Linked DNA regions of Rhinolophus ferrumequinum. The protein of the gene in region 2 interacts with the protein of the main gene of each other region in a pairwise test. Links are inferred from orthologs where the notes say so. Each region holds a gene or a part of one and is shown on either strand. Other genes may lie near its edges.

Region 1 (7,738 bases), on a different chromosome or scaffold from region 2:
AACTTGCAGAGCTTGCAGAGCTGTCCAATTGAAATATAATGTGAACTACATATATAACTTAAAATGTTCTAGTTGTCACATTAAAGAATATGAATTAATTTGAATTTTATCATCAAATGTATCCAACCTACTAAATCTCATATATTTAAATATTTATCTACTATACCTAAAAATATTGTCAGGTCAACACGGAATTAATATCAAAATTATTAATGAAGTATTTTACATGTTTTTCCATCTAAGTATTCAGATTATTTTATAGTTACAGCACATCTCAATTTGGACACTAAATTTTCCTCTAAAATACTCGATCTATTTAGATTTCATAAGCTTTCCAGTAGGAAAAAGTAGATTCGCTTAACCAAGTTGTTTCAAACCTACATAAAAATTTCCCAATAACTGAATCAAATATCAGTTTTTATTTACTTTTTGGTGGTGCACATCAGTATTCATTTAATTCTCCTCCCCCCAGATTTATTGATATATAATTGACGACATTGTATAAGATTACCACCATACATTAACTAACACCTCTATTATGTCACATAATTACCATTTCTTTTTTGTGGTGAGAACATTTAAGATCTACTTTCTTAGCAACTTTCAAGCATATAATACAATATTATTAATTACAACCACCATACAGTACATTAGATTCTCAGAACTTATTCATCTTACAAATGGAAGTTTATACTTTTTGACTAATATTTCCTCACTTCCCCCACCCGGAAGCTTTTAAGTTATTTAAATTTAATTATAATTACATAACATTAAAAACTTAGTTCTTCAGAGACACCAGCAGCATTTCAAGTGCCCAACAGCCACACATGGCTCGTGGTTACTGGATAGGACAGTGCAGTTTCAGAGCCATCACGACCTGCCCCCTGCCCACTGCCTGTGCCCCTTAGCCTGGCCCTGGGCTGGACAGACAGACGGTCTGATGAGAGTTCATTGGCCACATTCTGAAGTTTGTCTAGCTATGGTGGTTTTCCTGTGAGCCCAGCCTTCTTTGTCTTAAGCCTGGGTCACACTGGGTCACAATCTCAGGGCAGGAGAGGGATATTTTACCTGCTGTTGCTCATTGCTGGAGACCCCAGAAAGCAGCATAACTGCTCAGTTGTGTAACTCATGGCTGAATGGGTCCCAAATTGACCTCATGGGACCGCCTCAGTTTTTCCACCAGAAATAGTATGGCTAGTTCTACAAGAACCTGTCCCTTTTTAAAACTCATTGTATTGAGATGGAAGGTTGACAATTTTCTTAGAGACTTTGGCTACTCCTTAAATTAGAAAAAAAATAAAAAATCAAACGGCTGTCAGGAATAGCTCTTAGTAAATGCTTATTGGTAAATGAATTAGGATTACTTCCACTTATACCAGAATATCCAATAATGGCTTTCTCTTTTTAAATTCTTAATTAACTAACTGACTACTTAATTTAATAATGGATTTCTTAACTATGGCAAAAGAGCAGGTGGTTTTTGTACAATTTCTGTACAATTACAGAAAAATGAAGTCCATTCTTATCTGTACTATTGAGATTCTATACCCTTTATCTCTTTCTTATCATCTCTTTTATAAGTTACTATTTAACTAGGAAATAATTTGTTATTTTAAAGTGTATACATATGAAAAGAGTTATGTGTGTGTATAAACATATATGCGAAGGATTTCGAAAGAATTTTTTAAAACATTCTTTAGGGTTTTACATTCCATGAAAGATCTCAAAATCAAGACAGTCATGAAATGCATGCTCTTTGGCTAGATTAGGTTTATTGTAATCATATAGCATGTGTACTTTTTTAGAGGAACAAAACCTGTAAAGATTGCCACAAGGTGGTGCTAAAATCCAATGAACATTCCAGTCTCTGATCTCTGGGAGGAGTTGGGGGTGATTTACAGATCTGTAGGAGACACCCGACAAAGTAAAGATTCAGTAAATTAAGCTGAAGACTGGAGGGAGATGAACATCCTCCGTTTGTCTGAAGGATAATTTTCCTCTTTCACTGGTGTGGGTATCTGTCATACAATGAATCTATATGTCAATAGTTAATTATTAAAATGATTTGTTCTCATAGACAGTTTTCTCCTTTCAGTGAGAGTATACTGTGAAGAGAAAGGGGAGGCAGGGAGGAGACTGTCTGGCACATCACCTAGTTTGGAAAAGTTTATCCTGTGAGTGGAGCAGTCTTTGAAACAGCCAGTCTCCACTGAGCTTTTATTGGACCAAAAAAAAAAAAAAAAAAATGAATACCACAGAAAGAAGTTGCTGCAGAACATGGATTTTCCTATTTGTTTACTTTGGCATATTTACCAAACGAATATTTTTAGAAATTATTTAGATATTGGGATTTAAGCTTGGAACACCTCATATAATATGTCTGAGAATCAGGAAACGAGTGAATTAAATCCCTCTTCCTGGTTCTTTGTATTTCAGTTTTTTAAAAAATACATGGCACAAACTTTTAATTGTTTAATTTTTAACAATATTTGAAGCTTAAGGACATAGCCAAGGTTCCCAAGCTATATTAAGACCAAGGAAAACAGTATAGTGTTAACTATACAGATATACAAGGTTTTGACTGAAAGAAGGAAAATTCAGATAAGAGTTTTCTAATACATTAACTTAAAAAGGAAAAAGAAAACATTTCCAGATTGGAGCCTTAAACCAAAAAACTTACTTTCTCCTGTGGGACCCACTGTGGAAAAATTATTTACTTGCTGACAGTTCAGTTCCTTAGATCTGAAAACCAGAGGCAAAACAAAACAAAAAAGCTGGGCATTGTATGTTGCTAATCCAGAGTGAAGGTAACACTTTTGGTCCTTTGGATTAGATATTCTCTATAGGATGGGCTCTAGGGGTTAGCGGCACTAATGTCTTATTTGACCTTAGTATAGCTATTGTGTCTATAGAGACCTAGCTCTCAATTTATGAATCCAAGGTTAAAACATCAGGACTCAGTTACAGCTGGTTGCATGGGTTTGGTTGGATGGAGTCTGGAGTTTGAGGTAGGAGACCCCCAGAAAGTTTCAGCTGAGTTCCTGAGCATTTAGGTGAATTTTCCACAGTCATTTACTGATTCCTGCATAGTGGGTCAGACATTGTGCTACATCTTCAAGATGCTGAGATAAGACAGAATCCTGGCCCTCCAACAGCTTCATTCTTAGAGAGGGAGGCAGAAATATGAGGCAATAACCTCATCATGCCGTGGTTGGTCTCTCCTTTGCAGAAAAACCAATAAGCATCCCCCAGCCTCTACAATGGAGATAGCCCAACCTGCTCAAATGGTACTCTATCTAGGCCCTAACCTGAGTTTCAGCTTTTTCCATCAAGTGCAGCTACACTAAGCTATTCATGGTTCTTAGAGTTTATACTATTCTTTCCCACCTCTCTGCTTTTGTTCATGCTGTTCCTCCTTCCTGGGAGGCCCTCCCTACTTCCCCTCCCCACTTCCCACCTCTTCTGTCCTTTGAAATCCGTTGACTTAGATCAGATGTAGGTGTCATCTTCTGCAGGATCAGTGGGATGGATGAATTAAGTCTTGGTGTGTAGCAGGAGGCTAGGGACGTAGCACCTCACCAGACATTAATTTGCTGTGTCCCCCTGCCTTCAAATTTCTCCTCCCACACTCCTCCTCGGGCCTCACCCTCTTCTTGCCCAATGGGGTGTGAGGTGATTAAATTCTATTGTACTGTCTACTTCAGACGACCAGCATCCGAATTAATCATGCAAACCAGGGCCGAGGCTATCTTTTTCTGTGTGGTAACTTCCTTCAAGTGGACGCGAAGTTCTGCAACCAGCCTTGTCCTTCCCTTTTCACTGGTCCTCCTTCCCCTAATTTTCACCTAGAGACTCAAGCTGGGGGCAGGGCAAGGAGTAGGCGGTAGGACTTGGAAGAGCCTCGAGGCTCGGCCCAGGTCCACCCTGCTCACAGTAGTCTCTCTCTTTCACTGTGTCCAAACCTAGGGCTGCTCCAGGGTGAGTACTGGGGCGAGGAGGGTGAGGTGGCAGACTAGACTAGGGAGGGGCCGCTTGTAAAAGAAAAGGAAAAAAAACCTTGGTTGGAAAAAAAACCTTGGTTGGAAACAAACGTGTGTGTGTGTGTGTGTGTATTTAAAAACAAAACCACGTTAAAAGAGGCGCCCCCTCCCTCACAGGTCAGACCACCCGCTGGGAGTTTGCAAGGAAGCGGGGCAATTTTGAGTGGGAGGGAGTCGCCAACGCCCCACAAAGTGCTGCCCCTCTCGGCACCGCTCCCCCAGGCTCTGTGGGCTCCAGGTAGCCAGCTCTGGGGGCTTGGCAAGGCGCGGAAAAGCTGCGAAGAAGAAGGGAACCCTGGTGTCACCAGAGCCCGGCAGCGCCAGCCCGGGCGCAGACTCCCCAATCGCCGCCTCTCCCAGCCCCGCGGCCTGGGCCGTCAATCAAGTTGGTTAGGCTCCGCCCCTGGGCTGCAGTGAACCGCCAATCAGAGCCAAGCTCCGCAGCGATGAGCTCAGTCGGCTCGCTTCCCATTGGACAGCTATATTAAGAAAGTGGCCGAACTCTTTAAATAGCGGGCGCTAGGGCCGCAGCCTGCATCTGCCACCGCAGTCTGGCCGGAGTCCTGTGCTCTCCTGTACTCTTGGAGAGGCCTAGGGAGACCCAGGAGGGAGTTCAGGTCGGGCCGCCGCTCCAGCCACAAGGAGCGTTTGTGCACAAAGGCGCTGACCCCGGGTGTGGGGCGAGAAGAGAGGCCACCGCCCGGGAGCAGCGCGGAGACTCACGGTGCGCCCTATGCCCCCGCGCCCCCACCGCCCCCGCCGCGGCAGCCGGAGCGCACCGAGAGGACGCGCCACCGCGGGGCCTGGGTGCAGCTAGCGACCCTTGCCCCCAGCGCGCAGCCCGAGGTGAGCGGCGAGCGGGACGGCAGCGAGGCGTTCGCGGGCCCCCTCCTGCTGCCCGGGCCCGGCCCGCTCATGGCGGCCATCCGCAAGAAGCTGGTGGTGGTGGGCGATGGCGCCTGCGGCAAGACGTGCCTGCTGATCGTGTTCAGTAAGGACGAATTCCCCGAGGTTTACGTGCCCACCGTCTTCGAGAACTATGTGGCCGACATCGAGGTGGACGGCAAGCAGGTGGAGCTGGCGCTGTGGGATACAGCGGGTCAGGAGGACTACGACCGCCTGCGGCCGCTCTCCTACCCGGACACCGATGTGATCCTCATGTGCTTCTCGGTGGACAGCCCGGATTCGCTGGAGAACATCCCCGAGAAGTGGGTGCCCGAGGTGAAGCACTTCTGCCCTAACGTGCCCATCATTCTAGTGGCCAACAAGAAAGATCTGCGCAGTGACGAGCACGTCCGCACAGAGCTGGCCCGCATGAAGCAGGAACCCGTGCGCACGGATGACGGCCGCGCCATGGCCGTGCGCATCCAAGCCTACGACTACCTCGAGTGCTCCGCCAAGACCAAGGAGGGCGTGCGTGAGGTCTTCGAGACGGCCACGCGCGCCGCGCTACAGAAGCGCTACGGCTCCCAGAACGGCTGCATCAACTGCTGCAAGGTGCTATGAGGGCCGCGCCCGCCCGCCCCTGCCAGCGCGGCCCCCCTCCCGGGCCGGTTCCCTCAATGATCCCACCGGACTGTCTGGTGTCTGCCTTCCCGCCCGGCAGCCGTGGCGTGGAGGCTGTGGCCCTGGCGCCGGGAATCGGCATGGGAGGCACTGGGCACCCCCTTTCCAGTGTCTGTGTGCGTCCAGCTATGTTGCACAGATTCAGGCGCACCGCTGAGTGCCAAGGGTCCCCTGAGCACCCTTGTCTGAAGAGCCAAGCCTCTTTCGAGTGTGTGGCTGTGTGTATCTTCCGACTTCCCCCTTCCCGTACCACTCCGCCCCCGCCTCTGGTCCCTGGAGAGGAGCTTGGCGCCGGGGTCCGGCCGAGCCCCATCATACGTTCGCCCATAACCAGTGAACGCCTGCTATCTCTTGTGTGTAACATAGACCACGGGAACTGCGGGAGGGGAGGGTTGGGGAGGACGGGGTGTTATATAAATATAGATATAATTTTATTTTCGGAGGTAGGATGGTGTTATTTAATGGTGGTGGTGGGTGGAGTGACAGGGCGCTAGAACAGCTCCAGCCCAGCCTGATTCAGGCGCCCATCCAAGCATGAACTGGACTTGGTCGTCTTTCCAACCCCTGGGGAAGACATTTGCAACTGACTTGGGGCTGAGAGGACACAGCTTCCAGACTCACGTCTCCTGCGGGCCAGCCCCAGTGAACACCTCACCAGCCACCAGCCCTGGGCAGCAGGAGGGAGAGTGTGCTGCAGGTTGTTTTTGCCATAAGCGAACTTTGTGCCTGTCCTACAAGTGAAAATTGTTTAGTCCAAGAAACTGATGTTATTTGATTTATTTAAAGGCTAAATTTTGTTGGGTTTTATTTTGAAAGAATTCTTTGCACAATTATTTCATTGTTTGACACTTAATGCACTTGTCATTTGCATAAGACAGTAGCATTCTGACCACACTTGTACGCTGTAACCTCATCTACTTCTGATGTTTTAAAGAAAAGTGATGACTTAAAAAAAAGGAAAAAGAAACCACTAATTTTTGTTTTGTTTTCTTGAAAAAAGTGGCAACACTGTTTAGTTATTTTTTTTGTGCAGGTCTGCACACTATTTTGATAAACAGCAGTAACAAGTATTGGGGCCTACCTAACCCTCCCCCCTCCCTTTTTTTCACAAGACAGTCTCTAAAACTATGTGAAATTTTCTCTGCATCTCTGTACAGAGAATGAACCTGCCCCTAGTCTCCTTCCTCCCCCCTTCCCCACCCAGTGGTACTTCTACTAAATTGTTGTCTTGTTTTTTATTTTTTAAATAAACTGACAAATGACAAAGTGGTGAGCTTATGATGTTTACATAAAAGTTCTATAAGCTGTGTATACAGTTTTTTATGTAAAATATTAAAAGACTATGATGATGACATTTATAAAATGGCTCCTGTGGTTTAATAGTATACAAAAATATCTTAATGAATTTGGGGCAAGAGGCGAATTCAGCTAGGCAAGGTTTTTTTCTAGCCACCAACTCTCTAATAGTGTTTGTTGTAAATGAGGATGAAATTCTTTGGGGGACGTGTGGGGGTTGGGTGGCCATGGGAGACCGGGTTGCTCCTATCCCAGGCCCAGAGGAAGACTATGGGTGGTACTTAGGCACCCAGTATCAAAACTTTTGACCTCATGTGTACTGTCTCTGTGTCCTAAAGACACTTGTGTCTCTTATGGGGCCTTTGCTCCCTATTCTTTGAAAGTTAAAATTGTCATTTGTGCAATTTAAATTTAGATAACATTTTTTCTGTTAATCACCGGTGTGGGGTCACGCTATCTGTCTGGAAGGCTGGTTACTGGGTTCCCTTCAGCTCCTCAAGGGTCAACACTGTACCCCATGAAATTGTAAGTTATCTTTGGGGCTGGAGCTCCTGGGTAAAGGCCGAATCAGGAGTTGATTCTCCTATTGCTGAACTTTACGTAAATGTGTATCTCTGGGGAACCTAGAATGCTTTATTCTAAGTACTGAGAAAGGCCACGTGATGGGTAGAACACGATGCTTTGGAGGGCTGTTATTTAAAGTCGGAGCAGCCACATTTTGAGATTTAATCCTTGATGAGCTCTAATTTCAGACATTTAGCCTGCTGCAGGGGGTCTCAGAACCAGACAGGCAGTTTATACTTGGAGACCACATGAAAATCCTATGGCCATGATAG
Region 2 (8,120 bases):
AAAAGTGTTCGTGATTTAGTGATACTATAAAGGGAACAATATTTCTTCAACCTAAGAATTCCTTGAAGGAAAATAACTATTCTATGAATACCTTGAAAAAAAATAATGCAAAATTTAATTCACAGATAGGCATGGCTTCAAAACTAAGTTATACACCTAGATTTAGATTCTCTTTACCACCATCATCTTCACCACAAAAAAATCCTTAGAGATCCCTGCATTAAGATGTAGCTTTGTTCAGAATAAAGGAAAAGGTGGAATCGGAGGCCATAGCCAAACACTAACTTCAATCTCACAGGCAAATGGAACAGACAACGGAAAAGGTATCCATAAAAGTTTTTTTCACTTTTGGGAATTATTTTAAAAAGAAGAATGTGGGGATGGAGGGAGGATGAAAAGGAAATTTCCTCACTGTCCTTTGCAATGCTCTGTATGTGGGGGGAGTAGAACGGGGTGGGGAGGACAGGGGTGGTGGTAAACCCAGTGCCTTTGTTCTTATTACTTAATGTGAACAAATAATAATTAAGAAAATTATCCAACAAATGTTTATTGTAGGCCTCCTCTGTGTACCAGACATAGTAATAAATGCAGACTTCTCTCCTCTTTCGACATTTTTGGAGATTATTTTACTCAGTGCCTTTTTAGAGGTTATTTTACTCAGTGCCTTTTTAGAGGTTATTTTACTCAGTGCCTTTGCAGATAAACCAGCTGTTCCAGCTAAGAGGTGACCCTATGGCTGCTGGTATGCATTATGATCACAGCATTTTCCCCAAAAGCCAAGGATAAGCCTCTGACACAGCAATCCTGAAATCCAACACTCCTCTCTCTATGTAAAGAACGCTTAATAGGCAGAACTGAGTACAGGGTGGGAATTTGAGCCCCTTTTGGATCATGCAGCCCCTTTTGGATATTTTGACTGATAAGACCATGCAATCCAGCAAAGCAGGCTGGAATTATGCCAAACAGCTCAGATTCCCAGAAAAACTAATGATATTCATCAGTCTAGAAGTAAGGGAGGAGCCAGTATCTTCTCTTTACGAATTATCAAAGCTGACTTAAGTCCTACGGAGACCCTAAGCATTGAAAGGATTATGGTGCCCTCCTCTTCCACACACACAGAATTCAAGATGAGTATAATTAATTTCAATAAATTTCTGATTTTTGTCATGAGGACAACTTCAATAATTTAATTAAATGCCAAATATGAAATTATTTCCAGAAAAAAATTTAGAGATGCCCCTCATACTTTGCGGTATGTCCTTACCTTAGCTTCACCTGTACAATAGCAATTCCATCCTTGTATGCACAACAACGTAATCACCACAGTCAGTCTAGGTACCATCCATCACTATACAATTGACTTTCTTCATTTATTTCTCCTCCCCCCAACCTCCTTCCCCTCTGATAACCACCAAAATACTCTCTGTATCTAGAGGTTTTGTTTTCTTTTTTTATATTCCACATGTAAGTGAAATTATACAGTACTTGTCTGTCTCTGTCTGACTTATTTCACTTAGCATAATACCCTCAAGGTCTATCCATGTTGTTGTAAATCATGGCAAGATTTCCATCTTTTTAGTAGCTGAGTAGTATTCCATTCCTGTGTGTGTGTGTGTGTGTGTGTGTGTGTGTTTGACATCTTTTTCTATCCATTCATTTATTGATAGACACCTAGGTTGTTTCCATATCTTGGCTATTGTAAAGAATGCTGCAATGAACATAGGGATGCACGTTATCTTTTCGAATTAGTGTTTTCATTTTCTTCAGATTAAAAACCCAGAAGTGGAATAACTGAATCATACAGTAGTTCTATTTTTAATTTTTTGAGGAACCTCCATACTGTTTCCCATAGTGGCTGCACCAATTTACAGTCCCACCAACAGTGTACCAGTGTTCTCTTTTCTCCATACCCACTTGTTATTTCCCCCTCTTACTTTACTAGGCACGTGCATAATTTACCTACTGGGTAATTTATCCCTGTATATTATGAACTGATGAAGGCCTGGGGGCTGCGAATCACCCAACTAGCTTAAACTTAGCCAAGGTTATAATTACCTTTCACACCATTTGAGATTTACACTCCCTTCTGCCTGGTGCTCACTCCAGTGCAAACCCAAGTAAAGAGCCTGTAATAGTGCCTTCCTTTTGCACCTCCTCTAACCTCATCTTTTAGTGGTGGTTCCTTAGAGATCCCTTCCACTGTTCAAGGTCTTTCATCACAAATAGTTTGAAAAGCATTGGTTATAACCACTATATCTGTCAATGTTGCATGACAAGAGTATGGAAGAAACTATAAAATAGGAGAGTTCCCAAAAGATCATACCTTGTCGGTCCAAGGGGTCAACAGTCAAGTGAAACACCACAGTGGGCTCTATAACCACTAAGCACTACTGCATACGCCTCACAGTCATGCATATCCCCAATAATCCCCTTAGATAAATCCTTGAATGACATCCTTTTACTAGCAGGCTCCTGCCACAGCACACTAATCCTAAACACAAAATAGGTTTTACATACTTTGCAATTCATATGCAAAGTATATAGTCTTTCTATGCCTGTACACATGTGCATCAGTGTTTTCTGGCTTCAGTTGTAAGATTCTGGAGCATAGATGCTAACACTCCAGTTTTCTCTATAGAGCAGTTTGTGTAGTGCTGTGTGCCCTTTGACACTTGAAAATATTTTCCGATAACATGATGATAATACTGGATCATCACCCAATGGCTAGAAAGAGTAGGATAATTAAGACATACCTATAGCCAATTTTTCTATTATGTTGTCTGCCTTTGGCGAAAAAGAACCTGCTAAATACTCATCCAGCATACGTATGCAATTTTAGTACTGACATAGTTTGCATTTGCAACTTTAATTATTAAAACCCAATTCTAGCAGGGCCTGAGATCATAGGCCTGACTTTCTGCCCCTACCATCTGATCAGTGTGTGGTCCCTTCCCTATACCATTCAAATCTATTGTCTAATCTCTTTGTCAGACTTGATGAAAGCAGAGCCCGTGGGTAACTGCTGCTGACCCTTATACTGAAGCCCTGTGCTAGTTAAAGGCCTCATCTCTACAGTTGTTATGGAAACTGTTCCCTTTCTCTCCCAACAACCTATTCTGGCTTTCTGCCTCCACATGGCACTCTTTTCTGATTGCAGAAGAGGAGGTCTACACCTCTCCATGCCTTTTGCCATATTCGAAACTGCAAATGGTGGGGTGGAGTACATGTAGTAGAACGCTGTCTCACGTATCATATAGGGTGAGGCATTCCCCGCCATCTGATATTCTGCCAGTGCTCTTATTTTTCCCTCTCTGCTACAAAAAAGGATTTTCAAGGCTATGTCCAGTTTTTCTGAGCTATAACTGACATAGTATGCTATATTAGTTTCAGGTTATCAAACCCAAATTGATTACAGAATTTTCTGGCTATTTTGCTACAACAAATGCTCCATGATAGGGACCAGGATTGCCGTGAGGTACTTCACATGCACTGTCCAATCCTCCTCAGGGTGTCCAGAGAGGGAGTGGATCAAAATTTGGCTCACAGGCAGCTTTGCTGAATCTAGTACTGTGCTGCCTTTTACCCTGTACCGTCCCCAAAGTGTAAGGCAAATGGGACCAAGAAAGTGCTGCTGGAGCCCTAGGGTGAAAGCTCTCTGTGTGACACATACATGTACAGAATGATTTGATGGTTAAAAGAACTGGGGTGCAGAGTAGGTGGTGGGCACACGTTGAGGAATGGGCAAACATAGGCTAACAGCACACACCATTTTTACAAGTATGTTCCAAATCAGTCATAAAACATGGCAGCCTCTTTAGTCCTCTTTCCATCCCCTGGTTCTTTGGTTTGGAAGGATCAACCTTTTCTTTGGTTCACACGTTTCCCCTTCGGTTTTGAGAATTCCCCGGGGGAAATAATATCACAGTCTCCCAAGGTTACTCAATTCACTGTCACATTACCTGTAGTTGGGAAAGTCTTTCCTGGGTTTTACTCATATCCCCCTTGCTGCAGTCTGAGCTCATTGCACTCTTGAGTCCTGCACTCAGCAGAGATGGAGACTAGCCAACCACTATCTTCGGAATAACAACTCACCGGGGACTCAGGGCCGGAAGGTCATTCTGTCCCTTCAATACAGCGCAGCCTTCCAGAGCACTCCCAGGGCCTGGGGCAATGAGGACAGGGAAACCGAGGATGGAATCTAAGGCCCTGGCAGGCAGTGACAAAAAAAAAACAAAACTCCAGACAACGATAATACAGACACACCGACACAGATGGAGACACGATTCAAAACGGAGACAGAGGGACAAGATGGCTTCCTCAGTTCGGACGAGGCTGCAGAATTGCCAGACAGTACTCATAGGGGAAACATCCTAACTAGGAGCTTCTTCCGTCTCCGAGGCAATCGACTCATTCTTCCACCCAGTCCCTCAGAATCCTCACCCCTGCCCAAGTCGGAGTGGGAGCTCCCTCTGGAGAACGAGTGGGGGTGAAGGGGGCGACCATCACCACCTCCGCCCCCGGGCTAAGCGAGACTGCATAGTCGAGGTGTCCCTGCCCCGGCCCGGCCCCTGCGGCGCCAGTGCTCCGCCTCCTGACAGGCAGCAGCCAATGAGCGGCTCCTGCCTCCGGCCCTTAAGAACCCAGCGCGCTCTCCCTGCAGCGGACGCGGCCAGCCTAGCACTCCAACGGAGTTTCCATGGAGACCGAGGCTGGGCCCGGGCAGCCTCGCGGCGTTACCATGGAGACAAGTCCCGGGCTGGGCCTCCGAGGCCCTGGCTCACCGCTGTCTCACCACCCGGCGGATCCGCTGTGCGAGACCGGAGCCGCGGTGGCGGCGGCACGCTGGGACCTGCGGAAACACTCTTTGCTCATCGTGATCGGTGATATCGGTACAGAGAGTCAGCTGAGGGCCGTGCGGGCCCACCTTGAACAAGGTGAGCCGCTGTCCTGGCTGTGCTCGGGACATCCTCCATCCCGAGCTTCTCCGCCATCTGCATTTACCTCCCAGAGCTTACGTCTGCATTCTCCATCCCTAGTGTGCACTTGCTGAGATCTACGCGCCCTGTTAATCTGAGTCATCAGTCCATCACCTGCATCTTCCATGTCACGCGTCCATATCATCCCGAGCTCCCAACATCTCGCTTCCCATCCTTTCCGCACACCCCATGGCGCTCCGCAATCTCCCTGAAGCGGGGGAGCTCTGTGCAGCCCCTAGAGCCCCTCTGGTCACACCCTCTGTCCCAGTGTCTCGGGCCAGATGTCCAAAAAGTCCTCATCTTCCCCTGAAGAGTCCTTATCCCTACCTTAGTTTCTTCTTTAGGATCCCTTAACAGGCACAGGGTGCTTTCTGAACGCTGCGGACAAATCTCAAAGCTCTCAGTGTTGGCGGCCAACCTGAGAGAGTGACCTTTGTGGCCAGAAGCTCCTCAGTCCTCACGTCCCTCCCCAATTAATTGCCTGCCAGTGGCGCAGTGCTGCGGAGCCACCTGCGGGTGGGAAGCAAGCCGCGGAGGGGTGAAGGCAAGGAGGGGGGCATAGGAGAGTCTAGAATCCTACTTAGCTGTAAGGACCCTGGAAGGCAACCCCCAGTATCTGGGAATAGGCCCTTGGGTGTCACTTCTATTACGATTGGGTGGCTGCAAGAAAACTCCTACATATAAACTCACTAATAACCAAGTTTAGCCTAAACTCTGCCCTTCTTCTTCTGGCTCGGGCAAAGCCCAAGAAAGGCACAGGATGGGAGATGGACATAGGTACTAACAACCTCTATTAAAGAGATCAGTGAAGCTGATCATGACAGCTGTCCTTATCCCCTCCCTCTCCTTACCCTTCTTGTGAGCTTGGCCGTTGTTCCCTGAAGTCCAATCCTTCTGACCTTATTTAGAGCCCTCTTTGTTTCTTTTTCTCTCACAGGGATTCTCTCCTGGAACATTGACTTATCATCCTTTGACTTGAACCAACAATTGAGACTCTTCATTACGAGGCACCTAGCTCACTTCTCCTCAGAGGTCAAAGGTTAGGACTAGTGTCATTTGTCTCAATCATTTGGGTGAGGGTTGGTCACAGAAGAGATTAGGCTGGGGAGAAGGGAGGGACTCTTCAGGAAAGTCATAAAGCTCCATAGCTATGCCCACATACCCAATGCACTGTGAAGACAGATGGTATGATGGTAGAGAGAGCCCGGAGAATGTAATTTCTAACTGAGAAGAGGGTGGTCTATGGACAGCTGTTGACAAGTACTAAGGAAACAAGGTACTTGTCTTGAGTGATCGATCAATCACTCCCATGCAAAAATCCACTCTTTTTTTGTGATCCCCTTTCTGTGTCCCCCAGCCTCCTTGCTTCCCTTTACAAAGATCCTTGAATCCCCCACTCACCTTTCCAGATCCTTCCTTAGAACTTTTCCTCAGACTGCACAGCCCACTCTCCAGGTTTCAGGGTTTCTGGTCCCTCCTTTGGACCAGCCAACAGATCACCAGAGCAGAGCAGAAATCTGGTGCCAAAGGCTGGTGAGCACTGTCAAATCCAGGGTGGAAGCAGGGACTCCTGGCTTTACTGCTACAAGAGCTAGTCACACTCTGAGATTTGACTCTGAGATCCGAGTTCACAGGATGCAGTTTCCCATTGTGCTGGGTGGGAGAAATGGGTCAGGGATTTGAGTAAATAATATTTTAGGAGCTGTCATTCCATGACAAGTATCTGTGGGGAGACTGAAGAAAGCCTCACATCCCATTGTAGAAGTGCTGGGCATTCTGGTCATGTTGTTGGTGAATGTTGACACACCAATCCATGTGTCAGTGCCTTTATGGAATATGAAATCCATCCAACTGAACAGTTACTGCATCAAAGGACTGAATTCATATCTTATACAGATAATTCCATTATTTAGTATAGTAGATAGTCACCTCCCCTTCTCTTCCCGCTCCTTCTGCTAACTGCCACATCTTCAGTCATTTCCCTGATCACTGGCTCCCGAAGAGAGAAGACAAGTTGAATATGACTAATGCTTCATTATCCTAGGAATATGTGCAGCATTTAAAAAATGTGAGGCTGGCATCTTCTTGATGTGACTGGCTTCTTGTGAAGCTAGCCACTCACTGTTTTGAGACTGGCTTCTGTTAAGAATTACTCATGTCATGACTTCCTCCATTATCACTGATGATTGAAAATCCATAGTTTTACCCCTTATTACTCCTCGGAGCTTTGGTACAAGGGTGGATAAGGGGATGACGGCAGACGAAATTAATGACCACATTGAAGTTGGGGGAGTATCTGATGATGTTAATTCACACTGAATTCTCTAACCTTGTCCTTTTGGCCACAGAGATTTAAGATTAGGCTGCTTTCTGGAATGATGTATGAATGAACAGACTTAAACCAAAATACTTAACCATTCTTCAAATTAAGATCTAGGGATGCTTGGGAAGACGCTTATAGGGAGATGCATAGTTACTCTCAGGGACCTCTCAGAAACAAGCACTGATATATAATAAACACCTGCTAGATCTTTTCAAAGAGTTATGCCATGGTGTCCTCAAGGGGCTTAGGGCAATATACCCAAGATCAGGGCTTACTTTAGCCTATTGAATTTTTTTTTTTTTTTTTTTTTGGTTTGGACATTTTTATGGTGGCCTGACTATCTCCCTGGAGAATAGTGGAGAATTTCCTGGAAAAACCCACAAGGCTCAAGACAGCCACTGCCCCACCCCTGCTGGCTCGTCTTTCAGCTGTCCCCACAAACAACAGTCAGTCCAGAGCAGCTGCAGACACTGTCCCTCCTTTCAGCCTCCATTTAATGGGGAGGCAAAGGGAACCAAGCTGCTGGGATGGGCTCAAGGGGATGTGCTAGTACCTTATGACTTAATCCTTTCTGCCTACCCACAGAAAGGGCAGGGCCCCCATCCCTCTCACCTCTCCTCAAGCCCTGGGCTGAAATGCTGAAAAAGGGACAAAAATGTATCCTACAGTGACAGGGAGAGTGCAATCATTCCTAGCCATCTCCCCCTCCACACCCTCACAGGGAAAAGGAGGGACCCTCTAATGGAGAGTCAGTGGTCCAGCTCCTTCTAGAGGTCAAATCTGGTAATGTCTTTCCTAGGTGAATTTTGCACCAGGTAGTC

What was found.
Region 1: the proteins of MAP1A (region 2) and RHOB interact in a two-hybrid assay, tested with the Homo sapiens proteins (2 studies listed by BioGRID and IntAct). The link is inferred for Rhinolophus ferrumequinum from reciprocal best matches to the Homo sapiens genes MAP1A and RHOB.

What each region holds. Positions count from the first base shown.
Region 1 is NC_046296.1:58,503,589-58,511,326, reverse strand, and holds RHOB (rho-related GTP-binding protein RhoB), read left to right. Parts: upstream 1-4,565; 5' UTR 4,566-4,955; coding exon 4,956-5,546; 3' UTR 5,547-6,964; downstream 6,965-7,738. UniProt on the Homo sapiens protein: Mediates apoptosis in neoplastically transformed cells after DNA damage. Not essential for development but affects cell adhesion and growth factor signaling in transformed cells. Plays a negative role in tumorigenesis as deletion causes tumor formation.
Region 2 is NC_046289.1:62,309,521-62,317,640, reverse strand, and holds the start of MAP1A (microtubule-associated protein 1A), read left to right. Parts: upstream 1-4,652; 5' UTR 4,653-4,696; coding exon 4,697-4,934; intron 4,935-5,303; exon of another isoform or gene 5,304-5,437; intron 5,438-5,913; coding exon 5,914-6,015; intron 6,016-8,120. UniProt on the Homo sapiens protein: Structural protein involved in the filamentous cross-bridging between microtubules and other skeletal elements.